Struthio camelus: one gene and its partners. The protein of the gene in region 4 interacts with the protein of the main gene of each other region in a pairwise test. Links are inferred from orthologs where the notes say so. Each region holds a gene or a part of one and is shown on either strand. Other genes may lie near its edges. The genes, in order: CDC73, POLDIP2, PPL and ALAS1.

Region 1 (7,176 bases), on a different chromosome or scaffold from region 4:
TTGGTACTAAAGGCCTACCTCTCATCCATGAAGGGAAACAGTAATCTTCAAAAATACAAGACTAGACATGCAGACTATCATACAAATTACAACAGCCATGACCAGCTGCTTACTATTTAAAAACTTCTACGCATACAAACCCCTCTACTGTGTAAACAAAGCAAGTAAGTTTCTTTGCTGGACCGATTTTCTTTCTTTGGTTTTAAAACTAAACAAACAATCCTTCTTCAGCGGCTACAGATCAACCACTAGATCAAAACAAAGAAAACATCTAATCTTGGTCCGTCTAGCCTTCTCCTTGTACCAGCAAAGGAGTTCATAAAATTATTTTTTGTGAACTAAATCTAGGAACTAACCTGGATTAAAATAAATTTTTGGGTTCTTTTTCTAGGTTAATTTTAACCTGGCTCAGTTCCTCAGACCGATTCACTGTGTGGCTGACACTTGTGCTAGCACAGTGAGAAGACCGTGCAGGGCAATACAGCTCTTCTGGCAGCCGTGCAGGCTTCTGCCAGCCTCACTGCTCAAGGAGCAACAGTGTTAAATATCTAGGGGAACTACTTCTAATTCCAGAAGGGACAGAATGCCTCCACTGCTATTCAGACTTGGATTACTCTCTCCAGGCTGTTAGTAGAGATGCAAATACAGCAACCATGTTGTAGACACCTAAGACTGAAATCATCCTTGCTTCACGAAAGCTGAAGCTGTTAACAAGTGCTCACTGCAAGCATAGTTCAGATCCTGTCGAGTGACCAGCATAGAAAAGGTTTTGAATCTTAAAAGCTTTTTAAAGGTGTTCCTCCTATGTTCCTGCACAAGCATGGCAATTACATAAATTAATGGCACCTAAACTGCGGTCCCAAAGCTACTGAGCGCGGCTTACAGAACTGGTCTCACTTTTGCAATGTCTTCAATTTAAAGATTAGACAGATATAGTTGCATGGTGGTTCACAAGAAGTGCTGCAAATTGGTAACAATCCTACAAAATTGGTAACGATCCTACATGAAAGCTCAGAAGCTACTGGCCTAGGCCAAGATTTGCTAACTTAATCCAAAACAAATCTATAATGGATCTATCACTACAGATGATGGCATAGACAACTATTATAATGCTACTGCTTCCATTCTCCTCAGTGCATTCTCCTCTCACCCACAAACCCTCCTCAAGGCAGTTTTACATTCATGGTAAACATTAAGATTTTTTTTTCCCCTCCAGGTTTTGTCTTCTGTCCTCTGTTAAAGATTCCGGGCCTAATTGGGCCCAGGCCTAATTCAAACTCTCATAGGTGGCAGCAAAATTCAGTTGGCATATCGGTTTCTCTGTTTTTTACAGGGTACCAACAAAACTTGCCTGTCTAGCTAGCTGTTACTTGTTACTGCTTAGCAGAAAAACTTCAAGCAAGAAAATATGATAGCTGTCAATATACTTGCTTAACAAAATAGATTTAAGACTTTTCAAGAATTTTAAAACCTATCTACTTATGCAAAGACTTTTCTTCCTCTTCAGTCTAGATACCAGCACCCCTCACTCAGCCAGGATGCGCAAATATATCTCAAATGAGTTTCTGAAAACTTGAAATAGGTAATAAAACTGCACATTTATAGTTTTAAACTGCATGCAATATAAAATCAGTAAAATAAATGCAAAAATTTTTCTAGAAAATTAACACAAACGGGTAGGTTTCTTCCCCACCCAATAAAATTCAGGATATTAAATCAATACTAAGAGTCTTAGCATAATTATGAAAGCTTAGAAAAAAAAAAAAATCCCAGGCCGCAGACTGAACTGCGAGTGTTTTGAAAAATCTACATCTTCTTCTGTTTTTCTAAGCTTCACAGGATAATGTAATCTCTTTAACAGATGTAATATTTAATGAAAGGCATTACTTTTCCTTTCGGTTTAGAACAGACTCACTGAAATCCTTCTAGTTAGAAAGCTTTGGTGGCTTCTAAATACAGGGGAAAGGAGAATGAAGAAGAGAACTCTCTTGCATTGTAAACAATACATAGGAAACTCTAAAACTCAACAAGTAAAAAAACTAATCTTAAATACTTTAAAAAAATAAGACTTTTATCTAATTCTACCACTGAAACAAGAGAAGCATTTGTTTATTATAGTAAGAACAGCTAGGAAGCAGACTGCATTAGGACAAGCCCAGGAAAAGGCCTCTGCTAGAAGCAGGCTGAGCGAGGAGCACAAAGCGCCCGCACGGTTTGACAGAGCTCCCAGGTGGCCGCAGAGGGAGGAGTGCTTTAGCCCTCGCTGGCTTTACGCGACAAGCCTCGTGAAAAGAGAAACCAGCCAGTGAAGCTAGTGGGGTAAAGACATAACCTTCAGCAACCCAACAAAAAGAAAACAAACTTCCAGAAGCAGCTTTCTCTCATCTCCTCAGGAGAGCCTGCAAGTCCCGGCACCGCTGGGACCTTCCAGCCCCGCCGGGCCGCAGGGACAGCGGGAGAGCCAGGGACAGGCCCCCACCGTGCCCGGGGGGCGTCGGTTCGCAGGTCGCCAAGCAGGGCCCCGGGCACCTTGCCCAAGGCAGCGGCGAGACCGCCCGGCCAGAGCGGGCTCCCGGGCGGCCCCACGCACCCCTCCGCGAAGGGAGCGAGCCCGGAGACCCCCGGCGGGGCGGGCAGGGCCGCGGGGCCCTGCCGGGAGGCCGCAGCGAGGCCGCCACCCCCCCGCGCCGCTCCCGGCTCCTCCAACTTCGGGCAACTTCTCCTCCCCGCCGGCCCGGCCCGGCCCGGCCCCTCCCGGCGACGGCCGGGCCGCCCCGGCGCTCACCCCCAGATGACATAGTTGGTCTTGACGTTCTTGGGCCAGGAGAACTCGCCGAAGATCACCTCGTCGCCCTTCACCACAATCTCCTTCTTCTGCGTGTTGTACTGCCGCAGCACGCTCAGCACGTCCGCCATCTTCGCCCCGCGCCGCCGCCGCCGCCGGCCGCCGCCGCTGCTCCTGCTGCTGCTCCGCCGCGGCCCGGCCCCACTGCCAGCCGCGCGAGGACCCCGCCGCCAGCCGCCAGGGCCCGGGCTGGCCGCGGCGAACGCCTGAGCGCCGCCGCCACCGCCTCCAGGGGGCGCCCTGGGCCAGCCGGCCCGCCCTTACGGGAGCGGGGCGGGGCGGGGCGGCCCTCAGGGGGCTGAGCGCCCGTGGAGGGGTTGTTTCCAGCGGTCAGCCGTGTCGGCCGTGTGCCGTTCAGGCCGGTGCGGGCGGCAGCAGTGACGGTCGGACTGAAAACAGAAGTTGGGGAGCAGCCGGTTCGGTGCGAGGTGCTTCAGCCAGGTGAGCTGCCGTGGCGCAGCAGCCGCTGTGCGGCCCCCCTTCCCGCCACCCGGCTGCTCGTCGTAGTGACGTTAGGTCCCTGCGGCTCCGACAGCAGAGCGACCGGTTCAGGAAAGGCGAGAAGGGGCTTTCTGCCGTCTCCTCGGGAGAGCCTGCAAAATAGATACCTGGCAAACCCTCCGGAATACCAGCACTGGAAATACAGGCCTGAAGAAAGATCTCTCGCATGCTTATTCTAATCTTTGATGCTCAGAATTTTCTGAACGCTTTTCAATATTAGCAGAAAATGTTATCCGATATTACATATGAAAAAAGCTAACTTGCATCATTCTTCTTCTTGTAAGTAGCATGCATTAGGATTGTCAAAATAGACTAAAAGTCGACGTTTTATATAATTTCCTGTGCTGAGATGTTAGTGATACCACCGTTCTTGTCACAGCAGCACAGTACAAGTGAATATAGTGCAAGTATTTTATAACAATTCACGTATTGTATCAAAATAATTTAACACACAAATATATTTTCTAGTCACAAAATGAACTTTATGCTACACTAGTCAAAAAGTGAGCATTAGAGTTAATTGATACAATTACCATTACTTCTAATGTTCAATTGTAACTGGTATAGCATAGTATTCGTTTATTTAGGAGACAAAAAAGCCTGAAGAATAAACAATATAGTTTCTCACATGGGATTCAGAATGACTACCAGAGCTACTAGTTATGAAAAAATATAATGGAATTTGAAATGTTTTCAAATGGTCCAAAATCCTTTTCTATGTCTTATCCAAAAACGCCCATAGCATCACCTAAAACTGTGTTAGCTCAGAAAAAATGCACCTGATGCACTTTCTAGACATGTAATACTTTATTTATCAAGACACAAAGTTGTTATGGTACAGCAACGCTGAAAACATCAATTTCAGCCATGCTGTCATCTGTTGTTCAGTACACTGCAGCGACGCTGTACATAATCAATTGCCAAGAGTGTCTGAAATTTATTTTCATGTTTCAGGAAAATGTTGTCATTCTGTTTCATTTCTTTCATTTAAGGATACCTTCAATGCAAACTTAAAGGGGAATTAGCAAAATAAATTCCCACAGTTTGCTTTGGAGATCATAATGGGACTGTTGACCACTGTATCACTGAAACAGGAACTGATAAGAGATGTCAAATAAACAACTATTTTCACATGGCATTAGATACTTGAGGACTTACTGGTTTCATAAGAGGAGATAAGGCTAGAAAACCTCTATTCAAAGCCTTGGAACAATTAAAAGTTTCCAGCTTTTCTAGACCTACTTCTCTTCTCAATCTCTTCTGAATAAATTGTCCTGTTTTTCAGTTTCTTATTTGTGAGCGCCAATAAAGGCATGTATGTTGACAGAGGCATTTTTACAGTGCATACAAAAAGTATATAATGATATATTCATGTGTATTAAATAGCTGCAGAGTAGAAAAAGTATTACAAGAAAAAAGGGAACAGAAATGCTAACAGTGAAGATTTGAAGGGAGTTTTAGTTGATATAGCAAAGGCACCCCCAAATTCCTAGCACTGTTAGCCACAAAGAAAAGCAGACAAGGCTCTCACTTCATTCCGTGTGGTAAAAGTTACTTCTGGGCCTTCAGGAAAATCACTCAACCTCTCCGCAGCTTCACTAAACACTATCCCTCTCACGGGAACGTTTCAAAGCTTAATTAACCTGGTGTGAAAGCCTACACCACAATTCCAGAGCATTTCTCCCCTCAAGAACAGTGTGCAACTATCATGCCCTAAACAGAACTGAGGGAGCCGCCTTCCTCGCCTTCACCCTGCCTTGGCTACGACAAAGCGCCTCAGGCCCCGGCGCCTCTTTTCCCTCCGAGAAGTCTCTCGGAGCCGCGTCCCTCAGGACCGGCACTTCTCCCCCTTCCCTTCCCTGCCGCCACATCCCTCTCCCCGCTGCTCTCGAAAGTACGCCTGTCCCCCCGCGCCGGCCCTCCTCTCCCCCCCACGGCCGCCTCAGCAGCTTCCCGGCCTGAGGCGCCGCAGCCTGCGCCGCGTCCCCCTGGCAACGGCCGCGCCGCCCGCTAACGCCTGCGCCTGCGCCTGCGCCTGCGCCTGCGCAGCGAGCGCACGCCTCCCCTCCTCCCCCCTCCACCGGCCGGGCGGCGGGCGCTCCCGGGCACCGGCAGCGCCGCGGACAGCCCCGCGCCCCGGCGGCAGGAGGGGCGGGGGCCTAAGGCGCGCCGGACCGCGGTGAGGACTGTGGGGAAGCCCCGCCCCTTCCTCCCGGGCGCCATGGCCCTGCAGAGGGCGCTGCGCGGGGCGGCGGCGGTGCTGTGGCGGTGGCGCGGGTCGGTGTGGTGGGGCTGGCGGCTCCCCGCCCGCGCGGGGGCCTTCTCGGGGCCTGGGGCTTCTTCTCGAGGGGAGGGCCGGGTCGGGTCGGGTCGGGCCGGGCCGGCTGGGACCGGGGAGGGGACATCGCGGTGGCCTCGGGGCGTACGGCCCTAGGGGCAGCCCCTGTAGGAGGGTGCCCAGAGCCTTATGTTGGTGCTTGTATTTACACGTTGTCATTAGGGAGAAAAATTACATGTGTATATGTGTATGTATATGTATATACATATATATAGAAAATCAGCCTCTTGTAAAGACAGCCGTTTGGGTTAAACTCTGCAAAATCGGGCTCTTTATTTGGACCGTACTGCAGGCGTGTGAGAGCAAAGGAGACTGCCGGCATTGCAGCTGAAAGAATTTATGTGCAAGGGAGAGATCCTGTTAGGTATTTTAAACGGAACCAACCCTTGTATGGGTTGAGTGAAACCAATCCTTAAAAGAGTTTGTGAAGTGTAGTAATATGTCGTTTATTTGAAAGCTTAAGTATCTGACTTTTTTCTTTCTTTTTAGTCTTAGAATGGGAAATAGGCTGCCTGCTTCTGTAAGGTTATCTAATGATGCTGCTGTGAATCAAATACAGGTAACGTTATTTACGAGACTTCTCTTCCTTTTCAATGTTTGCAAAAGTGATAGTTACTTTCAGGTTTTTTCTTATATTATACAAAGATATGCTGTAAATAGTTCTGCATACTGAATTGGATCTGTATGTTTATTAGTAAATACTAGCTGCATTTTTTTTTATCCCCAGCCCTGGAATCTGATCTTCCTAGGTTGGATCTTTTTTATGTTTTTCCAGTGTTCTAGTTAAATTCAGTACTGTCATCAGTATCAGGGATTCAACCTTGTAAAATTACTGATTTCAAGTATGAACTGATACTGAGAGCGCAAAATGGATAAATCTTGGATAAACATGCAGTAAATAGGAGTCTCTCTTTCCTCCTACTCATACCTTTTTTTGCCAGTCTGCTTATCACTAGCACGTTCCGTTTGCCTTACAGATAGGAAAAGCTGTACTAATACTTCAAGGAGATACACCCTCTACAGTCTGTAAGAAGTCTGTGATCAGAGAGCAAGAGTAGGTTTAGGGTAGGGCACAGTCCCCACAATACTTCTGCTCACTCTGAAGTCAGTTGATTGTTAGTCAGAGATTGTTAATGCTAACTCTCCTCTGTTTCTTTGCTCCTGTAAGAGGAAAAACTACAGGATTCCTGAAACTTGGATACTGCTAAGTTTTAACTGACTCCAGGTATTCTGCTTGCAGTTGAGACAGTTCTGATCATTGAGCTAGCCTTGAAGAACAGATTGTGCTTTTTACTGAGGCCTTAAGGAGCAGGAGGAGTTGGTCACTTTATTTTCTATGTAGTTCTGCAAATGTTTGATGTTGTGCCTCACTGCACTTGCATTCCATTGGAGCAGCTACTCTTGGGCCTCGGGCCAAGTGCAGCTCCACTGCTGAGGTCGAGAGTCTGACTTTCTTGGCAGACAGGTGGGAAGTGATTTTTATTTTGATGTG
Region 2 (7,924 bases), on a different chromosome or scaffold from region 4:
AACGGTGTCTGTCACTGGCACAACAGCTCTGTTTTCAGATGACTTGGAAGATCTCCCCTGGTCAGCCCAGTATCCTATCTGGCATAGCTGTTTTCACTGCTCGCTCATTCTCTATCTGCTCACTGCTCAGTCTTTTCCAAGTCCAAACATACACTCGCCTGGCATACCTCCAACAAGGGCTAGAGAGAGGAACGGATGAGAGAAGTGAAGGAAGTAAACAAACAGGGACTCAATCCATCAGATGGATAAACTTAGCCTAGCAGGTTGAAAATGGGGAGGCAGCTGACAAATGCAACTCACTGGCAATCTATACAGGAAGCAGCTTGCAATTTTAACACAGGAGCCTAGTCCTACCTCAGGACAGCACAAAGTTTTGTTTTACTGAAAAAAAAAAAAATGTGGGGAGGCTTGGTTTTCATTTTCTAGACACACACACTCTTTCTTCATGCTTCCATCCTGTCTCTTGATTAAAAGAAAATTAATATTCATGCAATCGCTCGTTTGAGTACCTCTCTTCCAACTGATGTTCGTGTAAAACAGACTTGTACCATTGTCTTTCTTAAAAAGACTTGTTTTCCCTAACCAAGAAACTCGCAAAGAAACGTAAATACAGTAGTATGCTGCATACAAACAAGAACAAAACCTCACTTTTCTGTGACAGGAGAAGCAACATCTCGATCGTAAAGCCTGGCTTGCCAGGGAAACAGGACTATTCCTCGATAGCCAAACACACTGTGAAGAAACAGCTGAAAAGAACAAATAATTGCACTTTAATACATAGCAAGCTTCCGTCGACTTAGATACAATAGAAAACATGGAACCAAAAGCTCTTTTCTGACAATATCTAAAAAGAATTTTATAGAGGTAGAACTAGCAATGTTTACATGGAGCCTGGACACGTACGAAAGGGATAAAGGGAGAATCACCATTGTATAGCCATTGAGCAGAGACAAAGCCGGAACATAAGCAGCTTGGGATGGAAGAACAAATTCACGTCATCTCTATCCCATTAAAGTGATTGACTAAACCAGTTATAACATATTGGACATCAGAAGTGCAGAAAAGGAGACCAGGATAGTAGAGACCACCCAGAAAGGGAGAAACAGATATACGAGTCATGAGCATAGAAATTACAAGTTTACCTTCATTTCCCAAATTCAGCAATTGACTCCTTTGCTGCCAAAGGGAAACTATGCTTAAATAAAATCAGCAGAGCAAATACCATTGTATGAACAGTTGTGTCATGTTGCAGATTCTTATCAATTTCCTACTGTCAGATGACTGACAAACTGCAGACACAGCAGAGACAAGGAACGTTGAACTGTGAAACTCCTGGACTTCTGCTACTATGCAGCAGCCTTCTCGCAGATAAATCACGCAGCTATTCAACCTCTGTGGAAAAAGCCTGCAGGGTCAGCTCTGCTCCCCAAGACTGCTTACCTGGCCTGTCTCATATTTGCCGTGTTGCTTTGGTGCTTCAAACACCCCCACTGTCTCCAGCACTTTGCCCTCCGGACGGTTTCTAGGAGGAGAGAGTGGGTTTGCTGGGTGTGCACGCAGCTGCCCAGCTGATGCTGAGCCTGTCCCCTGGGGCCAGGAGAGCTGCGCGTGGCACAAAGCACCCTGAGTCCCCGCTGCTGGCTGGGTACAGCCCCCACCCTGTACCTCCCTCAGCCCCATGACAGCCCCAGCCTGCACCCATGAGGCTGCCCAGCCACCCGCTTCCGGGCCCTCCACACACCCCCAATGACCCCTTTGCCAATCCCCCCTACCCCAGTTGCCCTCAACATCCCCCTACACCCCCTGCCCAGCTACCCCTTCCCCCCAATCTCCCCTTTCCCACATACCTATCTCAGTCCCTCAACAGCCCCCCCAGTCTGCCTACCCCAAGTTGTCCTTGACAGCCCCCTGCCCCCCACCCTGTCCCAAATAACCCTGCCCCAAACACACCCTTCCCTCATCGCCCCGTAAGTGCCCCCCACCCTGCCCCAAACACCCCTGACAGCCCCACACACACCCTTCCCCCGTTGCCCCATAAGTGCCCCCTACCCCACATACCCGACAGCCCCCCACACACCCTTCCACCGTTGCTCCATAAGTGCCCCCCACCCCACATACCTGACAGCCCCCCACACACCCTTCCACCATTGCCCCCTAAGTGCCCCCCACCCCACATACCCTTCCCCCGTCGCCCCCTAAGTGCCCCCCACCCCACCCCAAACATCCCTGACAGCCCCACACACCCTTCCCCCGTCGCCCCCTAAGTGCCCCCCACCCCACCCCAAACATCCCTGACAGCCCCACACACCTTTCCACCGTCGCCCCCTAAGTGCCCCCCACCCCACCCCACACACCCCTGACAGCCCCACACACCCTTCCCCTGTCGCCCCCTAAGTGCCCCCCACCCCACCCCAAACATCCCTGACAGCCCCACACACCCTTCCCCTGTCGCCCCCTAAGTGCCCCCCACCCCACCCAAACACCCCTGACAGCCCCACACACCTTTCCACCGTCGCCCCCTAAGTGCCCCCCACCCCACCCCACACACCCCTGACAGCCCCACACACCCTTCCCCTGTCGCCCCCTAAGTGCCCCCCACCCCACCCCAAACATCCCTGACAGCCCCACACACCCTTCCCCTGTCGCCCCCTAAGTGCCCCCCACCCCACCCAAACACCCCTGACAGCCCCACACACCTTTCCCCCTGTCGCCCCCTAAGTGCCCCCCACCCCACCCCAAACACCCCTGACAGCCCCACACACCTTTCCCCCGTCGCCCCCTAAGTGCCCCCCACCCCGCCCCAAACAGCCCAGCAGCGCCACACCCCCCCGCCGCCCCCACAGGCCTCACCGCGACGAGAGGTGCCGCCGCGGCAGGAGCTGGACGGCCGCGGCGCCCCCCGCGCCGAGGGCCCGCGGCCCGCGGGCCGGGGGGGGCTCCCAGAGCGGCAGCCCGCGGGCCCGGCACCGGCTCAGCGCCGCCGCCACGTACCGCCGCGCCGCGCAGCCCGACATCCCGCCGGCCGGGCCCACCCCGCCGACAGCCCACAATGCACCGCGCGCGCGCCCCCACCCCCGCCGCCTGCTTCCCGGCGGCCCTCGCGGAGCGCGCTGCGCCGCTCTAGCCATCTGGCGGAGCCGCGCTCTGTGGTGCTCCGTGTCCCCTAGGCGACGGCGGCCGGCCAAGATGGCGTCGTCGGTGCGGGCCGGGCCGCGGCTGAGGCGGGCGGCGGCGGACGGCGAGCTGGATGGGCTCCCCGCCGGCCTGCGGGCCGAGCTGGAGGCGGCGCTGGGCTCCGACGGCGCCCTCGTGCCCTTCAGCCTGCTGCGGCGGCTGCACGGGGCGCTGCGGGAGGCAGGTAGGGCCGGGGGGCCGGGCTAGGCCGCGGCCGGCCCCGGCCCCCGTTAACCGCCGCCGCCTCCCGCAGGGTCCCCGCTGTATCTCCACGAGCTCCTGGAAGGCAGCGAGATCGCCCTGCCCGAGGTGCCGGTGCCGCCGCGGGTAGGTGAGGGCCGGAGCGGGCCCGGCGGCAGCCCCAGCCCCAGCTCCGACCCTCACGGCAGCTCTCTCCTCCCCCAGAACCCCGAGCTGGTGGCCCGGCTGGAGCGCATCAAGGCCCGGCTGGCCAACGAGGAGTACCGGCGGATGACCCGCAATGTCACCGGCCAGGTGAGTGCTGCGGCTGGCACTCGGGATGCGCTCCCCAGCTGCTCTGCCACCCCCAAAAGGCAGGCTGCAAAAACCCATCTATTAAAAAAACCACATGAACCCACCCAGGCTGCCAAATCAGTGTTATCCCCAAACCAGCTGAAGCTGACTTGAAGGACAGGAGAGGCTGGATGACCTTTTGATCTCTACTTTAAGTTCTAATTATCTGAGGCTCCTGGAGTTATGCCGTGTGTATGTGGGCATCCTCTGGTATCCGTTCAGGAATCATTCCTTAAAAGCATAACAGGTGGCAATGTGACAGACAGTAAAGGAAATTTTCCCAGTAGAATGAATAAAATAGAGGGGGGATGTGAGCAGGGATTAGAAATCATCCCTTTTCAGTGTCACAGACTGACCACAAGCACAAATCCAGAGGAAACCCAGGCTTTATGAAACCGCTTCTCAGCTACAGCATGTCTCACCACTGCTAGAGCCCCACAGAAGCCGGCTATGTTTCTGAATGAGTTGTTCAGACAGGATATTATATCGGAATCACTTCTGTTATTAAAATATAATACAACACAAGTTGTTTTAATCCTTTATTTTAGGAGCTGAACCGGTACGGGACATTGGCCGACTTTGGGAGGCAAGGTGAGTGACTGCCTCTCCTGCTGACACCAGGCAGTGTGTACCTACAGGCAGAAAAATCAGTCTTGGGAACTGTCACATCACTAGTTGTGTGTATGTTGTTGACATACAACAGCCGTCCCTGCTCCAAGCTGCAGTATCTCACTGGATGGCTTTAATGCACGAAAGCATTCCTTGAGTAAAGGAGCAGCCCACGTGTAGTTCTTACTGGTATTTCGGGAGGCATAAAGCATGTGAATTCAGGAGTATTCTTGTAGCCAAACTGAGGCAGCCACTGGCAGATTCAGTTAGCAGGATTATAGCTTGTCCCAAACTCTTCTCTCTGAGGCTACTTAACAAGCAGCTTCTAGCCTTTCCTAAAAATCACCATCTTTCCCCCTTCTCTCCAGTTCGATCTGTTAAAGCTGTGGTCATCACCATATTCAACTTCATTGTCACCGTGGCAGCCGCGTTTGCCTGCACGTACCTGGGCAGCCAGTACATCTTTGCCGAGACGGCTGCGGTGAGTGAGCGTGTCGTAGAGGCCAGACCGGAGCAGCAGACGCACTCCCTGGCACCAGGCAGCAGCCTGAGCACATGCGTGGGGTCACTTAACTCTCTCTCTTTGTGTCCCCAGCGCATCCTGTCAGCAGTAATTGTGGCCTCAGTGGTTGGCTTGGCCGAGTTGTATGTGATGGTGCGGACCCTCGAAGGGGACCTCGGGAAACTATGACTGTGCGTTTCCCTGCGAACTGCGACCCTCATGCTGGAGGCTTTTGCCCTCCCCAGGAGCCATTTATTTTGGGCAGGTTTGTCTTTGGGCTACCAAATGTTTGTACCTGCTCCTGTTACCAGGAAAACTGCTGCATTCCTCAGGCCTCATCCTTTGCTTGCCTGCTCCTCACCTTCCTGAAATGAATCATGGATTAAAGATCTTGTGGCAGCAGAACAGAAGAACCAACAGCAGTGGACTCATACTATGCCAGTATAGAGAGGAGTGTCAGCGACTGCTGTTACAGTTCTTTTCTGAAGTTGCTGTCTTTTTTTTTTTTGGAATAAATATGTTGTGTTTATGTTTGCAATCTTCTTCCTGCCTGACAGAAGAGTTCTGTTGCTATGCAGCCCACTGGCCTGGCATCTAAAAGACACCACAGAGAGCTGTGAATCTTTCTCCCTCTTTATCCTGTTCCATCTCCAGCAGAAATCAATGCCCTCAGGTGGCCTGTTCTTACTGCTCCTACCTGGCCCCTTGCCCGCTTTAGGGAGAGCGTTACTCACTTGTGACCAGCATGGCAGTTACATGACCCATCTCATATTTGGTGGCAAGTACACTTCCCCTCCGCGCAGACCTGTTCAGGAGAACAACAGTGTCTAATGCAGCAGCACTGCAGGCGCATTGGGGTTTCAGCCTCGTCTCCAGCGGCTCAGCAGACAGACGTACCCTTTGTGTAGCTTACACTGTGTTCCTGTTCAGGGAGAAGTCGCGCTGGGAGCTGCCGCCTCTCTTGATCCATGGTCCTGTGACTGTCAGTGCCAAAAAGAAAGTTGGGTCCCGGAGGAGGAGCCCCCGTCATAGCAGCCTGCCAGAGCAGCACCGTGGAGTGCGGCAGGGCGCCCGCCAGCAGAGCCGGCAGCTTGCCTTCCCTGCGCTGGCAAGCTGCTTCCCCTCAGCCACGGGACTGGGGCAGAAACTTGGGCTGCCATGGAGAAGTGCTCGCCCTTTTCTGTTGCCATCCAGCACCGGTGTCCCATGGGGGGCCGAGTACCTGCTCTGTGCTGAGCTGGCTCGGGAAAACCCTCCTCGCCCACATAGGCCCCAGCTGGTCTCTCCCTGCCAGCAAGCGGAAGCTGGGGTTTGTCCCTCAACTCAGAGGCCGAGGGACCCCAAGGGCTTTGCCAGAGCATTCAGGGGTCCCAGATGGGTCAAAGCAAGGCCCCAGACCTGACTGCAAGGTGCAGCTCCGTTCCAAGGCTGTCCCTGCCACCAGCAATCACTTAAACCTAGCGGGAAGAGTGGCTCAGTGCAGAGCTTCCTGGGTGCCTTGGAGCAGAGAGTTGAACCAGCTCAGTGCACTAGTGGCCCTGCAGTGGGGAGAGGGGCCAGTGGCACTGCCCACCCTGGGCACTGTGGGCTAGGACACCTGCTGAGCAGGCAACGTGCCAGAGCTGGACACAGTGATTAATGTTCTGATGGCAGCTAAACCCCTCTGCAAACATGCTTTAATATCCGATACGGGGAGATCGGCCCAGCACCTGCGAACGTGCCTGCGGATTAGGGGCGGCTGCGCCACAATCATCCGCGGATACTGCCTCAGATTAAGGTATTTTTCTGAAAGATTAGTTGGTATTAGGGGGCTGATGGGGAGCCGGCCCCGCCACAGCCTCACCGGCATTTAGGATATTGGATGGCATCGCAGGGACCTGAAGGAGCCGGCAGTAATTCCACGTCCTAATGACAATCGCGGCGCTAAGCCGGGCAGGGCCGGGGGCCCGGGGGGGGCCCTGCTCGGGCTACGGCTCGCCCAGGTTGGTGATGGCCGCGCTGTAGATGAGGTCGGAGATGGAGCCCAGCGAGGTGGGGAGGCCCCAGGCGGGGCCCTGGGCTCCCGGCTCCGGCAGCACGGGGGCCGGGGCTGGCGCGGTGCCGTCGGGGGGCGCCGCGGCCGGACCCCTCTCCCCGGGCGGCGGCAGCGGCGGCGGCGGCGGCTCCGGTTTGGCGCTGCGGATCCGGCGGGCGCGGCGGTTCTGGAACCAGACCTGGGCCGGGCGGGGGGCGGCCGTGAGACCCCGGCACCGGCCCGACGGGGCGGCCCGGGACGGAGGCGGGTCCCGGCGGCCCGGGACGGACGGAGGGAGGGAGGGAGGGGTCCCCCGGCCCCGCTCACCTGGATCTTGGCCTCGGGCAGCTGGGTGAGCTCGGCCAGGCGCTCCCGGGTGGCGATGTCCGGGTAGGGCACGGCGGCGAAGGCCCGCTCCAGCTCCGACAGCTGCCCCCGGCTGAACGTGGTCCGCCGCCGCTTCCGGGGCCCCCCCGGGCCGGGCCCGGGGCCGCCGCTCCCCGCCGCCCGCCCGCTGCCGCCGCCCGGCCCGCCCGCCCCGTCGGGGAAGCGGAGCAGCGGCCGGGGGACGCGGCAGGCACCCGGGGCCGCGCTCATCCTGCCCTACTCCCCCAGCCCCGCCGCCGCCCCGGCTTTTATTCCCCCCCTCCCCGGCGCCTCCCCCCGACGGGCTGGGACCGCCCCGAGCAGGCGGCGCTGGCCGGGGCCCCCCGCACCCGCGGCGGCGGGATCCGACCCCCCCCCAGCCCCCCGGCGGCTCCCGGGGCCGATCCCCGGGGTCAGCGCTCCCCGTGCAGCACCGCCCGATGCCTCCCGGGGCCAGTCCCCCCCCCCCTCCCCGACGGCTCCTGGAACCAGTAACCCCACCGGCTCCCAGTACTGGTCACCCCAATGGCTCCCCATCGGGGAGCTGCTTCCCTCCCACCGGTCCCCCCAAAGCTCCGGGGTCCGTCCCCACCCATCGCTGTCCCCGGGTCTCAGCACCACAGTGCCCCATCGGAGCCCCGAGGTGGCCCTGCAGCACTGGGGCCGGTGGGGCTCCAGGAGCCCGGGAGGGGGGTCAGGGCAAAGCCTGGCACCGGCGGGGCAGG
Region 3 (7,604 bases), on a different chromosome or scaffold from region 4:
TGAAGCCCATAAACTTCAAGGTGCTTTGGTTTGGAGCCTTAAGGGCTAGTTTTGGGTTGGTGACTGGTGGCTGTCTGCATTCGGAGCCAGAAGGACGGAGAACGTTGTTCCTGGGCAGATTACAGAGCCTGGCTTGAGCTGCAGAGATTCATCTTCAGATCCTGACAGCCCTGCTCTGATCTCTGGCGCTAATCATCATGGCAGCTGCCCGAGCACAGACGGCAAGATGCCCGCGCTGCAACAGGAATTTGTCCCACGGCTGCCGACTGAAGGAGCCACCGAGATCGAGTCGTACAGTCGTCCGTGTCAGAGCGCTAACTGCCCTAGGAAGGTACTTCCTAGGCAACCCCTAACTGAATCAGCTGAGATCACAGGCCTGGCTCCTTATTACCTGCAGGAAATGTTCCAGCGTGATTGATCGCTTGCCAAACCGGTGCTCAGTTATGTGCTCTGTCACTACTATGCTTTGAACGCTCAGTCACCAGGGGCACCCTGGCACTCAGCCCTGAGCTAACACGCAACCCTACAACCTACCTTTCCCCAGCTGAAAAAGCCTCTCCGAAGAGCCGGCTGAGGCTGGGCTGGCCGCTGTGTCCAAGCCTCTGTTCCTGTTTACAGCACGGGGCTGTTGATTTTAGCAGGGTTGCTCTGTCTTTGTAGCAGCATAACTGGGCGGGAGCTGGCTCCGACTCCAGCAGCGCCTTGAGCGCGGGACGGGGCGGCAGGAGCTCCTCAACTCGCAATCTGCCCCCGGCTTCTCCAGCAAGTCGTTTAACCGGTCTGGCTCTGGCTTCCCCCTCTCGACTGCAGGGACGTCTCCACAGAGCGGGAGCGTTCCCTGCATTCGCAGATGTTTGTAAACTCCAGCACAGGAATTAACAAATTGGGCGTAATAAGCGCAGCCCTGCCCTAGGTGTGCGTGGACACACTTGGAGGCACAGACACGGCTCTCCGTGCTGCGGGGAGGGAGGGTGGCCCGAGGCCACATCGCGCGTCGCTTCCTGAGCCTGCACAATCCAGCCACAAAGAATAAGATTTCATCCTGGCCTACAGGTCTGCGGCCGTCAGAGGTGCGTTGACGTCCCTCTGAGGCGGTGCCCCGAGCGTGCTGGGCTTGCTGGCAGGGCGCTGGAGGGAAGGCCATCTTCCCGAGCCCCAGGTGCCCGTGCACGAAGGCCCGTCTCCTGCTGCCTCCCGGGCTCCGGGTGCTGCTCAGAGTCCTGAGATGTCAAGCCAGGTGTGGCATTTCTTGTGTTCAAGCCCTACTCCGACACCAGTGGAGATTAGAAACAGAACCTGGTTTTCACATCTTCGTTTGAGGCTGCAATCGCTCCTTCAGCCCTCGACGCTGGTGACGGGGCCTTCGGGGAGGCGCGTGCTTGTGCCTCAGATGGCACAAACTCCTCTCCCTCCACCAGCCCTTGCTGGGGTGGGAGCCGGCGCCAGAGCGTGCCGCGGGGCTTGGGGAGGGGGTGCAAGCGGCTGTTTCGACGGCCCTGCTGAGCCGGTCGGGCTGCAGAGGCTGCCTGGGGATCCCATCCCCGCTTCCGGAGCCGGAGCTCTTTGGTCCTCAGTACTGAGAGAGGGAGCTCAGCAGGTGCCAAGACCGACCTGAGTCCCCCCACGCTCAGGGTCTCCCCCTTTCAGGGGACCCCCATGCCAAAAGCGACAGCATGGGACCTGCAGGCAGCCCTAGTTTTGCCTGCAGGGAGGAAGCAGCGCGGCACTTTCCCCAGCTCCCCCACTGCCCTCCGCTGAGTCAGGACAGCTCCCTGACGTCTCGCCGCCAGCACTGCGACTACAGGATAGTCGAGCCAAAAAAGCCCAGAACTGAGCGGATTAATTCCCAGGTGGGGTGAGAGGCAGCTCCGGGAGCTGCTGAAGGCAGACCTGCGCACCTCGGCTGTCTGAGCTCCCCGCCTCGGAAGGGGTCAGCACCCTCTGGGCCGCCCGGGGCCCCCTTCCTGGGTCCCTGAACGCAGCCTCAGCCCCCGCGCCCGTTCTTGAGTTTCCCTTCCCAAAGGACGATTTTTGGGGAGCGCAGCGCAGCGCTGCAGCGCCCAGCCCGCAGGCTGGGGCAGGTGTCTCCCCGTCACCCCCATCCCAGCGGCAGACGGGCAGCGCTGCCAGAAGCGCAGCAGGGAAAGAGGAAATGCCGAACGGCCGGAGAGCCGTTTGCGCAGCAGTACAAAGCCACCGGCTCACATCCACACCTGGAGAGACGGAGGCAGGAGGGCTCCTTCCCTTCCTCGCATTACTCACTAGTGGCTCCCGGAGTGTATACACTCCAGAGCCTCTCCAGGCCTTTCCAGAAATGCTAGACTTCCTCCCGAATTGATCAGAACATTCAACTTCTGTTGCAAAAATGACCCCTCTGTCCCTGACATGCACCCAGGGGTTGGGGACTGGCCGCCCTCCAGTTTCCTTCTCTCCTACAATGAATCATTCAGCCTGGAGAGAGGCCGTGCCTTTTCTATTGGGAACTTTTACATCTTTTCCATTTTAACAGCATTCTTGCAAGGGGTATGTGTAACCCCGCGCGTGTTCTTGCACCAGCACAACTTAAAATCCATTTCCACCCCAACAGAAAGGGCGTCGAGAGAAGAGGAAACACTGACTATTCGGTTCTAACGAAACCAAAGCTCAAGGCAACGAGCGCTGAAGCTGCGAAGGCTCGAAGACCGACTCTGGCCTCCGCCGAGGAGGGCACGGCAGCGGCTCGGCAGCCCTGCCGCTCTCGGGGACCCCGCCGAGCGCGGTGCGCGGCGGCGGTGCGGAGCGGTGCGGAGCGGTGCGCGGCGGGGCCGAGCGCTGCGCCGCGCTCCGGGCGGCCCCCGACGGGGCGGCGGGCGCTCACTCACCTCTTCTTCTGCACCGAGGGGCTGTACTTCCCTTTGTTGCGCTTCCTGAAGAGCGAGTGCATCGCGGCGGCCGGCTCCTTCCCCCCGCTGCCGCCGGGAGCCTCTCTGCGCCGGGAGCCGGCGGGGCCGGGCCGGGCCGGGCCGGGCCGGGCCGGGCCGGGGGAGGCGGGGACGGGGCTGCGGCTGCCGCTGGCCCGGCCCCGGGGTGGTGCCTGCGCGGCCGCGGCAGGTGCCAGCGGCGCGGGCGCGGCCCCCCCGGCACCGCCGCGCCGCCTCCAGCCCCTTCCTCCTGCGGGGCGGCCCGGCTTCGGGGCTCGCCGACTTGGCGGGCAGTTTTGTCAGAGCCAGATATTTCCCTTTTTTTTTTTCCTCGGCTCTTCCGATCGGGGTAGAGACGTGTCGAAGTTGTCCCGGCTCCCCGGAAGAGCACAGGCTTAAAGATTCAGGAAAGGGCAGTGTTGGACTAGCTGTAAAAAAAAAATCACCGCTGGAAAGGCAGGGCAGATTCCCCAAAGAGAAGTGCTCCGAGAGTCACCAAATCCTTGGGAATCAGCCCTGCCCAGGCAGTCCTGCTGTGGGCCAGGGGTGCGTTCGGGGTGCTCTCCCCTCCGGGGTGCTCCCGCGCAGTGCCGGGTGCCTGCTCGGGGCAGACGGGCCCTGCTCCTGGTTCCTGTGCCGAGGGGGCCGAGGGCTGCGGCGGCAAGGAGAGCTGGCTGCCAGGCAGCGGGGCTGCAGGGCTCGCCTGCTCCTCTGCCGGCCTCTCCGCACTGCGCGGTTTTGCCCCAGCGCCTCTGCCTATGTCCTGGTCTCGGGAGGGACCAGAGCGGACTTGGGGCGGCAGCTTGGCCGACGAGCTCGGAGAGGGCCCCAGGCTGTCCGGTGCCCCGGTCAGGGCTGGCGTGTGTCCCTTTGCCCCGGCCGGCAGCCCAGCTCCAGCAGCCGCCAGCACCCTGTGCGGCGGGCGCCACGCCAGGGCTGTGCCACCCCCGGCTGCGCTGCAGCAGGGGCTCGGGCTGCATCCGCTCAGCGGCTCCCGCCGGCTCTCGCACAGGGGCCCAAGGCAGCCTGGCTTTGGCCTTCCAGCCGCAGAAAACAGTCCGCTGGGAAGCGACTCTTCCAAATCCTATCGCAAAACTGCCAGGAGGTTGCTCCCCCAACCCGGAGCCCTTCCCGGCTTCGGGGCCGGTCCTCAGGGCACAGACGGGCAGTGGGGAAGGGAGAGAGCTGGCTCCCTCCCGCCTGCCGCAGCCTAAGAGGTTTTGCTCACCCATCCCCGTGTGCACAGCACTGAGCAATTAGGAGCAGCTCTGGCCTTTTTATCCAGGGATTTTGTGCCCATCTGGGATTAAACAACTGAATACATGATTGTCGCTACCTCACCAGCCCCAAATCCTCTGCTGATTTTCATTCTCGGGGCAAGTCAGTGCAGGCTGTGACCTATTGCTCCTGATCCCCGGCTTGGGTCGGATTGCCACCTCTTTCGGCAGCATTTGCTCCACGCGGCGTGCAGAGCCCCGAGCCCTGCGCTCGCTGTCGCTGCGCGGAGAACCGTTCCTGCACGGATCCAGCTGCGTCCGCACGATGCTGGGGGGCAGCAGGTCCTAGCGCTTCGAGCACGCGGCAAGTATGTGCAAGTGTGTGTGTGTGTGTGTGCGCGCGCGCGCGTGGACTTCTTCCACCTCCGCTCCTTGGGCTGTAACCTTGGGCGAAGAAGCGAGGTGCGCAATCCATGTAATCCTGGCTGCTTTTTAGAGGCAGCATCCGAGAACCTCCTGAGTTTTCGCAGTTCTCCCACATCTGAGGCAATTTCTGCAAAATGCTCTGATTCGAGCAACGCCGCCTTCGCCGGCGAGGGCTGCTTCGCAGAGCCGCGCTGCCTGGCGGCGGCACCGAGCCCCTCGCAGGGCCGTGGCTGCGGCAGCTCGGCGGACCGGGGCCCTCGGCAGCCAGAGCAGGGGCTCGCGGGACGGTCGGTGGCACCTCCGGCCGCTCTCTCCGGCTCCGCCAGCCCTTTCCCAGCCAGAGCGGAGCCGCCCCCTGGCCTGGCGCGGTCCTCGCTGGAGGACGGCGGCGGGGACGGTGCTGTAATGACCGACTCTAGCGGGGCAAAGGATGCTTGGTTACCGAGTGACGTGTTCTGCGCTTCGAAGGTGATGGCAGTTGATTTGTTTGAGGCTCCAAAGCTTTTAAGAGAGCCCTGTGCTTTCTCTGGAGAGCGCTGGCGTGGCGTTGCCCTTTGGCTCTCCTATTGATTAATCGCTGGAAATCAGCTTGGCTGTGAGCCCCAGCCGGTGGCGGCGGCGGCGAGGCAGGACCCGGGAGCCAGGAGGGAGGGGGCTGCGTGCAGCCTGCGGCCCCCAAAAGGCGCCTTGTGCGGCTGCATCGCCGCAGCCTGGCGCTTTGGAGGGTCCCTGCGGGCTCCAGCGGAGAAGTCACCCCCCTGCAAGGGAGCGAGACCTGCCCGAAAGAGAGCCGGCCGCCGGGCTGCTGGGGGAGAGGAGCCCTCCGCCCCTGGCTCCCGCCTGCCCCTGCCGCCTCCCGAGCGCCGGCCCGGCTTTGCTCGCCTCTGCCGGGCGCCGATGCCGTTCCCACGTGCTCGTGGCTGACTCAGGTCCGCTCCGCGGCATCCATCCTGCTCCGCGCTGCCTGCCAGCGTGGGGCCTACTAGCCCCCACTAGCGAGAGACCCTCTTCATTAGGCAGCAGGCTGCGGCGGCAGCAGCGGAGGGGGATGCGTGTCCCCGTCGCTCCCCGACCTCGGGGAGAGCCGCACCGGCAGGCGTGGGACGAGCAGGGCCGGATCGGCCCCGACCGCCCGAGCCGCGCAGGGGAAAACTGATCCCGGAGGCAGAGGAGCCGGCGGGAGCCGGCGGGCAGCGGGCTGGCACCAGCCTGGAGCGAGGACGCCGGGCCGAGCAGAGCAGGGCGTCCGGCTGGGCCCGCGCAGCGAACCTCCGAAACGCTCGCTCCTCGCCGGCTTGCACCCCTGCCGCCGGCCGCAGCGCTAGCGCGCGGAGAAGGGCGAATGTATTACTACCCTCCGGACGACTAACGCGCTGCGTTTTCATAGCCTCTTCCAACCCTGCGTCTTAAAGTCTCTGAGAAGCAGAGATATATTTAGCGCTCTCCCAGATGCCCGAGCCTGCGTCTCCGTTGCTAGGTCAAACGGCGAACGCCGTTCTGGCTGGCACGCTAAGCGCGCCCCGGCGGAGGGCCGGTTTTTTCCGCTGGGCGAGGAGGCGGCGGGGCCGTGCTGAGCGGCGCGGCGGCTCGGGGGCTCTGGCTGGCGGCGCCAGCAGGGCACCCTGCCCATGCACGGCCCCGAGGCCTGGCCGCCCAGGGCCTCTGTGGAGCCCTGCTGGCAGTCGCTGTGATGAGTGGTGTGGGGTCTCTGCAGGCAAGAGCCCCAGGAGAGCCTGGCTGCCGGCGGCGCCCTGTTTCCCCGCCGGCAGAGCCGGGTGCCCTCTTGCACTGTGGCCGGGGCAATACCGTCCCCCAGGAGCAGTGTCTTGCCTGCCCAGGGCAGCGTGCGTTGGCTTGTGGCCCAAGCCGAGGGGGAGGAGCAGGCAGAAGTCATGCTCCGCGTCCTTCCATTTAACCAGATGATATTTTGCCTAGCTTTATTTGCTCTAGAAAACACTCTCAGGTTTTGGCACTTTGATACCCCCCGGTACGTCGTGGCAGCGCGTCGCCCCGGACCGGCCGGCCTGCCGGGAAAAGGCAGCTCCTCGTCCCGCTCCGCAGAGCTCCTGAGCCAGCCCGGAAGGTGAACAGAGCGCTGACGTACCGAGGAAATGTCCCTGTCTATCGCTTCTTCTTCTTTTTTTTTTGTGTGCATCTTTTCCTCTTTTATTCCCCTCCGGCGTGACCTCTGCGGCGCTAATCCCCCTAATCTCCCCTCATCTCCGGCGCGGTTCATTTGCGCGCGCGAGTGCCCTTGAGAGCCGCCGAGCCGAAACGGCTCGGGGAAGCCCGGCAGGCAGCGAGAAACCCCGTCGGGGTGGAAGCCTGTCCGGTGCAAACCGCCCGGGCATTTTGCCTCTATCCTGCCTTTGGGCTAAGGCACCGTGTGAGCCCAGCTCGCCGGCTGCTCTTTGGGCAAGAGCTTTAATCCCACCCGATTTCGGAGCTGTGACGAGCGCTGCCGTGCTGCTGCCCTCCTGCACTAGCCAAACCAGAGCCTAAAATCAGGCTTAAAATGATTTTGAGGGGCGTCCCGAGCTTTGCTGTCCCTTGTACTCGGGCAGGAATCATGGCTGCTTCCGGCACCTTGCCCCGAGTCCCTCCAAAAGAGGCACTTCTCCATGGGCGCCGCGGCCGGGACGCGGCGAGGCCGGCACAGGGCCCCGTGTCCGGTTGCCGCCAGCTCCCGGGTGTCTGCCAATTCGGAAGAGGCAATACTGGCGAGGAGAGAAATGAGAGCTGATGTCAAATCTGGGATACGGCGAAACGGAGAAGCTGTGCAAAAGCTCCGGAAAGGTTTCGGGCCTCTGTGCTCACTGGGGTTTTGATGCAATTAAAAACACAGAAGAATTTAAAAATCCCCTAATGTTTCTTGGGCTTCAGGAAGCAGAAACGCCCTGCCAGCGATGGCCCGGGGCGGCGAGCGCCGCGTCCCGCCGGGGCTCGGGGGTCCCGCGGGCGCCTCTGCGGCCCCTCTCCCGTGGGCGCAGCCAAGCAGCCAGCCAGCGCCTTTTGCAGAGCGCAGTCCTTGCAGGCAGGCAGCAGCGCGCCAGCGCTCGCT
Region 4 (6,945 bases):
AGGGTGGCTGTGTCTTTGTGGTAAACATGGGATGCAGTTTGAGGTCTCACCTGGCAGCATTTTAGCTAGAGTGAAGAGGGTGGAGTCATTGGCTACAAAGCAAGATGAGAACAATAGAGCTGCATCTTTTCCATGAAGATCAGCTAGTTCTTTTTCCAAATCAACATGAAATTTACTTGTTCCTGAAATATTTCTTGTGCCTCCTGCTCCAGCACCATGTTGTTTCAGTGTATCCCTACAGAGTGCCCAAAGAGAGGCATTAGTGTTACTGAGCAACACAAAGATGAATATAGGATTATTGCTGAAAACATTCTACACAATCTCTATCGTTCTAAAAAGAGCTGGCTGTGAAAAGCAGCTGTTATTTTAAGGTCTTTGAGCAACTTGCACACCTCAGGGATTCAATAGGCTAATGAATAAGGTATCAAGTACAGCTGCAATATACAATCCAGTTTATCTGCTAATATTTGGGGGCTGCTGAGGAAGCTCAAGGAGCAGGGTCAGCGACTGACAGGTTATGTTGCAGCCCTGGAGGAAGGGGGGGAAAACCACCACCTATCAAGGCTTAAGAGAAGTATAAGCTTTAAGGCTTCATTATATGAAAGAGTAATGCCAAAGTAGTTATGAAGTACAGTAGAAGTATAAATTCCAGGGAGGACTTTCTATAAAAGCTTCTATAGACCACCGTAGCTTGTAACTGCATCTTAAGAGCACAGTACTACTCACACAACTGCTCCACACACACGAGGGTGACGGCTCATCCCCAGGTAATCATTGCTGCACCACACAGACACCTCCTTTTTGGTGATAAGAGAATCAGAATAGTCATCTGCCATGGGAAAGATTTGTGCCTTTCTGTTTACTGTTTTGAATATTCGATAAGTATGATCCTTCTTCTTTTCATCTATCTTCTTCTCAAAGAACTGATCATACTGGAAGGTGGCCACAGCTGAAATAAGACAGACTTAAGTACATAGGAGTTAATCACAAGCAGACAGGCTACAGGGGTTTTGCCAGCTAAGCTTACATTTTGGCAAGTTATCCTGAAGCAGATGAGAGACACTTTCTGGTCTTTGCTTGAGCACAATATCCTGAAACTTCTTGAGCAAGCCACTCTGCTCTGTTCCCTCAGTTTGAGGGCTCCTCACTGTGGAGTTAGCTGGTGTTTTGGCAAATTCTGTACCTACAGACATGGCAAAGAATTGCAGTGAGCTTAATCCTTTTGAAACAAAATGAAAAGGTAAGTTATGAGTTCAGCAAGGCAGATATTTTAAGTTACTCTAACCCTTTGTTCTTTAAGGGCCTGCAGTTGAATCCATGGGGCATCCTGTTGGCATCGGCTCTTATTGGCTTATAACTTTGCCCTGTATGAGACAACAGGGGAAAAACTAGTTTGCTAATCAATGACAAGACAATGCAATGTCCTTGCACCACACTTGGCTTATCTTGACTAGCAAACCTACTCTATAAGGGTGCAGCTCCCATCTGAAAGAGCTGGTACATAGCTAACTGAAGTCAGGAGTTCTGGTTAGCAGCTTCTGTTTAACTCCCAGCATTTTGTTCAGTTGGTAGAGTTTTCCCCCAAGCCACAGAGAAAACCAGAGAAGTAAAACAAGCTTCCTTTCTGAGAAAGGCAAAAGTTTTACTGATATGGCTGAAAAGCATCTTTCGACAAAACTTTGTCAGAAGCTTGCTGCTTTGAAGGACAGCCCTTCTGCACCAAGCCAGCCAACACCCTTCTGTCATGTCAAACAAATGAAAAAGGTTGCTTGCTTGCTTGCCAGCTTGGATTTGTGCTGCTATTTACATAGTACCCTGTCCTGACTTCCTTCTTCTCTGGATATACCACCTTGTCTATACCAGCACTTTGGTAAAGCTCACTTGAGTCCTAAACATCTACTTTGGGTACAAGTGCTACAGCTTGGTTCACAGCCCTAAAAGCAGGGTGCTATTCCCACATCAGAATCACCCTGGGCAATCATTGCAGAATACAGCTGATACACCATTAACACCCAGTGTCTGCTACAACAGCTTGTCATCTCCCATGGTCCTACTGACACAATTTAAGTGGTGTCAGTTAAGACCTGGCATGTGCTAGAGTGGAGTCAGGCACCAAAGGCAAACGCTTCAGAGCCCAAAATACCTACCTTTCCTCTCGGGCTGCATTTCCTGCACATCCTCCTGGAGTTCTAGGCTGGCTTTGCAGAAGACATTACTGTTCCCGTGATTCATCTGAGCTGCCAGGAAGGGGCACTTGGTAGCAGAGCTCGGGGGGCCGGCGGCAGCAGGCGGCGGGTGGCCGGCGGGCGGCCGGCATCCCTCGGCGCTCTGCTCAGCGGCGTCTTTGGCACTTTTGGCCTCTGAGGTGGGAGGAAGGGGAGGGGAGAGAGGCTTCAGTTTCATCGTTTCGGCGCGGTTACTGGAGCTTTTCTACCTAAGCCCTTAGCGCCGGACTTGGCAGGAGCCGACCGGGGCCGCTTAACCGAGCGTTTGCGTCTTATTTCGCGGAAGGAGGAAATTCCAGCGCCTGATTCAGCCGCTCGTCCGGCACCGCGGCGCAGGAAGGGGGAAACGCGTCCTTCCCCCCCCCCCCACCCCGGGGCGGGGAGCTCAGCGCCCCCCCCCCCCCCCGCACTCACCGCGGCGGGCGGCCGGGGTCTCCTCAGCGCGCTGCCGGCACCCGGCCGAGCTGCCGAGGGCGCGGGCCGGCGCCGCCTCCATCATGCGCGGGCAGTGCTGGGCGTAGAGCAGCAGCGAGGGCCCGGCCTTCTGCAGGAAGGCCTGCGGCACCCGGGCCAGGAACGGGCAGCGCCGCACCACCGCCTCCATCGTGTCGCTGTCGCCGCCTCACCGCCCTGTCGTGACAGGCACCCGCCTCGCCGCTGCGAGTGCCGCCGCTCCCTATATAGGCCGGGCGAGCAGGGCGCATGCGCGTTGCGGCTGCCACCGCCGCCCCCATGGGCGCAGGCGCGGGAGGGGCGGGGCGCGGCCGGCCGCCCGCCCCCGGCCTGGTGTGGCGCGGGGCGGGGCGGGGCCGCGCGCCTTTTCCAGAAGGGTCGGAGGGCGGCGGGGCTGGGGCTGGCGCCGTGCCCGAGGGCGGTGCCGGTGCCCGGCGCCCGGCGAAGGGAACAGCGTTCTCGTGAGACGGGCGGCGGGGAGTAGCGCTGAACCCTGCGGCCCCTGGCCCGCGACAGGCGTTAGCGCCTCTCTGCTCGTCCGCTTGGGAGGGAGGGTGGTTTTTATTTTCGTGGTGTTCCGTGGGGTTGTTTTCGTGCTAGCCGGGGCTCTCCTCGTAGCCAGCCCGGCGGCACCAAGCGTCGGCAGCGCTCTGCGAGCTGCCGCTACCCCCCGAGCGCCGAAAGGGCCAGGGGAGGGAAGGTGACGGGTTTTTTTCTTCCTCTTCTTGTAAAACACTGATTTCGGGCTCGCGCAGAGTACCGCCTCGCTCATCCTCACCCCACCCCTTCCCCCAGGCAAAAGCCACCTTTTGGCTGGTTTATAAGATAGCTGTACTTTTTTTATTGAGTAACAAGTGTGGGGTTTAGGAGGAGCGCTCTTTCGAAAGTTCCCTCTCGACTGACACCTCGCGTCTCACCGAGCGGTCGAGGTGCTGGGAGGCACTCGTACGGTCGCGGCTGGGGAAGAGCAGAGCCTGTCTAGACCTGTGGCTGCTGAGCTCCTGAGTTTGGCTGCGCAAGGCGCTAGGAAGGTATCGGTCAATGTTTACACGTTACGAATTAATCCGTAATTGCCTGATCCCGCCTCTGTCACCGCGTTTGAAGATGCTGGTGGCAGCACGTGAAGTTGGCGGCCTGGATAAGCAGACCCCGAGGAGGTCGAGCTTTTCAAACCCCCCGTTAAACAGCAGAGTCGCTGTCAGCTTCCGCGTGCCGTTCAGCTCCCGCTTAGGGAACCGGACAGCGTTCTGGCCTCGCTTGTTCCTCGTGGAGCCCTAATAACAGTCAAATGGGGCTTTACACGGTAGAGGCATGGGATATTTGGGTTTTAATAGGGCTAGAGAGTGTTTTAAGCACAGTTTGCTTGCTTATTAGAAATTTAGCACGGCGTTGACTTGTGAGTCTTAATATTCAAAGCTTAAACAATTCGACTCGTTATTTCAGCAACATAGTGCAGAAGTTACCATTAACGTACACAGCTTTTTTTTTTTAAGTGGATATCATTAAACTGCATGTGTGCCAGTTTTATTTTGTTCTGTAAATAAATGATTAAGCTGAGGGTACGGTATTCGATCCAAGCCCGTACAGCGGTTGCGATAACAACAGTCTTGGGCGCTTGGCAATACCAGGACGGTGCTTCAAGTTCTTAGCTGAGTTTGTTCACGAAGAGAGCTCGTTCTTCATAGCTGGCTTTCAGTTAGTGCTACACGCGGCAAGTACTTATGTTTTGCAAAACATAATAGTGAATAAGCTATTAAAAAAAAGTTTAAAGATGCCTGATGTGTGTTTGGATGACTGCTCTCCCTTCCCACATCGAACATCTGACTCTCTACCCTCAAGCTGTTGCCCACATCAGTTATTTTTAAAAATGAGGAAACAGACTACTAAATTCTGCTGTGCAGATATCTGGTGAATATCATCAGAGCAGAGTTAGGTTCCTGAACCTAAGGGATCATTGCGGTGTTCTTTGGATTAATTTCAGTTTTAACACCAGAAACTGAGTCCTGTATGCCTGATTTATAGTGTGTTGATGGCATCTTTCCTTCTCCCCTTCTTCTTGTATTCTGTGACCATGCTACTTAATTCAAGAGGGGCGGAAGGAATACTTCATGAACAACAGCCCGCCCTAGAGAAAGGGGTTTGACAAGTACGTTGGCCGAGTAGCGCAACAGACTGTAAAGCTTGTCTGTATGGACACCTGCCGCAGCAGGTTCAAGCCCGCAGAAATCTGATAATGCTTCGTTATCCTAATCTTAGTAGCAGCATCTTATTATATTGCAAGGTTGGGGGATGAAGTGCGTTAGCCTGCTCTGTTGCTGGAATACAGAAACTTATGCTTTTAGAATTAGAAGTGCCCATGTCAAGTCTGGTCAGTAAATGAGCCTGAAGAGCATCAGCTTGTTACCCAAACATGACTCAAGGTTGGAAGCTGAGACAAAGTGACCTTGGCTAAGATGGTGAGATCTCCAAACGGTGCCGAACCCTGAGCTCTCCTGTCAAACTTGCTTAGGCTCTGTGGTGTTAATCAGACCCCATCATAACACTGTTTTCGAGCTTGTTTCTGGTGAATTTATTTAACCTTGTACATGACAGAAGTTGTGCAGAGCTAAATAGCAATGAAATGACATAAACTTGACCCTTATCTTGGGGAGCTGCCAAAGGAGAATGTCACCGTCAGTGCACAGAGATGGTTGTGAGCTCTAGGTCCAATAAAGTGCTGAAAAAATAGTGGTAAAATTAGGGGGAAAGGGTGTCTTCTCTACTGCTCTGCCAGTTCACTCACTTTGGGAGTTTTAGGTAGTGAAGATGAAGTAAATGCTAATAAAGCTATCGTTAATTAAAGTTTCTTAGGGCTTTAGTGGATCAATTAAATGGTATTTAAAGATTTTAATTGTGGGGCTGTATTACCCTCATCCTCCAAGGCTCAGGAGAAACTAGCTGGAGTGCCATGCAAAAGCTGGTTGCCGCACTCCAGGAAGAGGATTTCAGACAGAGACGCATGGGATGGTACCGTAGTAGCCAAGCGGGGAACAGGAAGCTCATCCCAAGAGGGAAAACTAGGCATACGCAGCCTGTCAGGAGGCCACTGGTGGGCATGGGAGAAACGGGTTCGCTGCCTGTGAATACATAAAAGGTGGAGTAGCATGTACCAAAGAAGGAAAAACGGTTTAGGCTGCGGGGATGACCTCGATGTGAGACCAAACGCTTACTCAGCTGGCCGTGAAGAAGTGTAGGTTGGAATTTGGGTGGTTCCTGGCTGTAACTGTTTTGGAACAGCCTTCTGGTAAGAGCCACTGAGACTATGAATACCAGCTGGCTTTTTGCAAGGGAAGCTCTATCTGCCTGAAAGGCTCATGGGATGTAGTGGTAGGGGCTCAGTTACCCAGAGCGTCTCTGCTGATTTTTTTTTTTTTTTGTTTTCTAAAGCCCATTCTGTTCTGATGATTTGTCCATTTGTTTGCTAAATGAGTTGCAAGAGGAGAAAAAAGGTTAAATTCCAGCAATCTGGGAGGTGGATGAGAAGCAGTAGAAAGTGGTTCCCAGATAGAAGTCTAAAGGGAAGGAAAAAAAAACAAAAAAAACCCTGCCACAAGGTCAAGTTGATTTCTGCAGATGTCCATGAAAAGTTGCTGCTAAAGATGGTCTCTTTCTATGTGATTGGTTTACTATACAGGCTGAGCTGGGAATTGCCATGAAAATAATTCCCTTCTGTCCCTCTCCTCTCTAACAAGTTTTCCTAATATTCCTAGAAACAGAACTTGACCAGCAATTTGTAACTTTAATCCAGTCTCACATCTGTCAGCAATTAGTTCCTCTGTTTGAATTTGAATTGGATTTTTTGATCTGTAGAGAAGCCTTTAGATTCTTCAGGAGAAAAGCAAGAGTAAAGCCCCTCTGCACCCAGGTTATCCAAAGGAAAACGTGTAACTGTACCATTAGCAAAGCTTAATCCCTCTTGCCCGCTTCCCAAATCAGAGGCTGCACGCATTTCTCATTTTTCCCACCCATTCAGTGTCACAAAAGGGCAAGACAGAAAAACAGTCCTCCTCGCCGCCCCCCCCCCATCTCTTCCTATATTGAGATCAGAGTTTTCCAAAGGAGTGGATGTGATCCTGACATCTGGATTTAATCCAGACTCAAATTCCAGGCTTGGGTCTAAGAATTTCCACTTCCAGTGCTGAGACTAGCAGTTCTTAGAGAGCTGTTTACCTTTTAAGGCAAAATTCAAGGGTTGTAAGAGTAGTAGCATAGTGAAAATTCCTCCCAT

The links.
Region 1: the proteins of ALAS1 (region 4) and CDC73 interact in a two-hybrid assay, tested with the Homo sapiens proteins (3 studies listed by BioGRID and IntAct). The two-hybrid records come from large-scale screens. The link is inferred for Struthio camelus from reciprocal best matches to the Homo sapiens genes ALAS1 and CDC73.
Region 2: the proteins of ALAS1 (region 4) and POLDIP2 interact in binary tests that used the Homo sapiens proteins (3 or more experiments, as listed by UniProt). The two-hybrid records come from large-scale screens. The link is inferred for Struthio camelus from reciprocal best matches to the Homo sapiens genes ALAS1 and POLDIP2.
Region 3: the proteins of ALAS1 (region 4) and PPL interact in binary tests that used the Homo sapiens proteins (3 or more experiments, as listed by UniProt). The two-hybrid records come from large-scale screens. The link is inferred for Struthio camelus from reciprocal best matches to the Homo sapiens genes ALAS1 and PPL.

What each region holds. Positions count from the first base shown.
Region 1 is NC_090949.1:10,422,313-10,429,488, reverse strand, and holds the start of CDC73 (parafibromin), read right to left. Parts: upstream 3,016-7,176; 5' UTR 2,917-3,015; coding exon 2,786-2,916; intron 1-2,785. Other genes in the region: GLRX2 (glutaredoxin 2), read left to right, coding at 5,568-5,623, 6,174-6,243.
Region 2 is NC_090957.1:16,405,103-16,413,026, forward strand, and holds the start of POLDIP2 (polymerase delta-interacting protein 2), read right to left. Parts: upstream 3,015-7,924; coding exon 2,851-3,014; intron 1,523-2,850; coding exon 1,441-1,522; intron 747-1,440; coding exon 649-746; intron 1-648. Other genes in the region: TMEM199 (transmembrane protein 199), read left to right, coding at 3,187-3,358, 3,428-3,501, 3,580-3,669, 4,257-4,299, 4,686-4,798, 4,913-5,008; homeobox protein SEBOX, read right to left, coding at 6,787-7,032, 7,161-7,430. UniProt on the Homo sapiens protein: Involved in DNA damage tolerance by regulating translesion synthesis (TLS) of templates carrying DNA damage lesions such as 8oxoG and abasic sites.
Region 3 is NC_090956.1:17,375,226-17,382,829, reverse strand, and holds the start of PPL (periplakin), read right to left. Parts: upstream 3,004-7,604; 5' UTR 2,924-3,003; coding exon 2,862-2,923; intron 1-2,861. UniProt on the Homo sapiens protein: Component of the cornified envelope of keratinocytes. May link the cornified envelope to desmosomes and intermediate filaments. May act as a localization signal in PKB/AKT-mediated signaling.
Region 4 is NC_090955.1:22,844,031-22,850,975, reverse strand, and holds the start of ALAS1 (5-aminolevulinate synthase, non-specific, mitochondrial), read right to left. Parts: upstream 3,011-6,945; 5' UTR 2,830-3,010; coding exon 2,640-2,829; intron 2,361-2,639; coding exon 2,148-2,360; intron 1,184-2,147; coding exon 1,028-1,183; intron 950-1,027; coding exon 727-949; intron 236-726; coding exon 51-235; intron 1-50.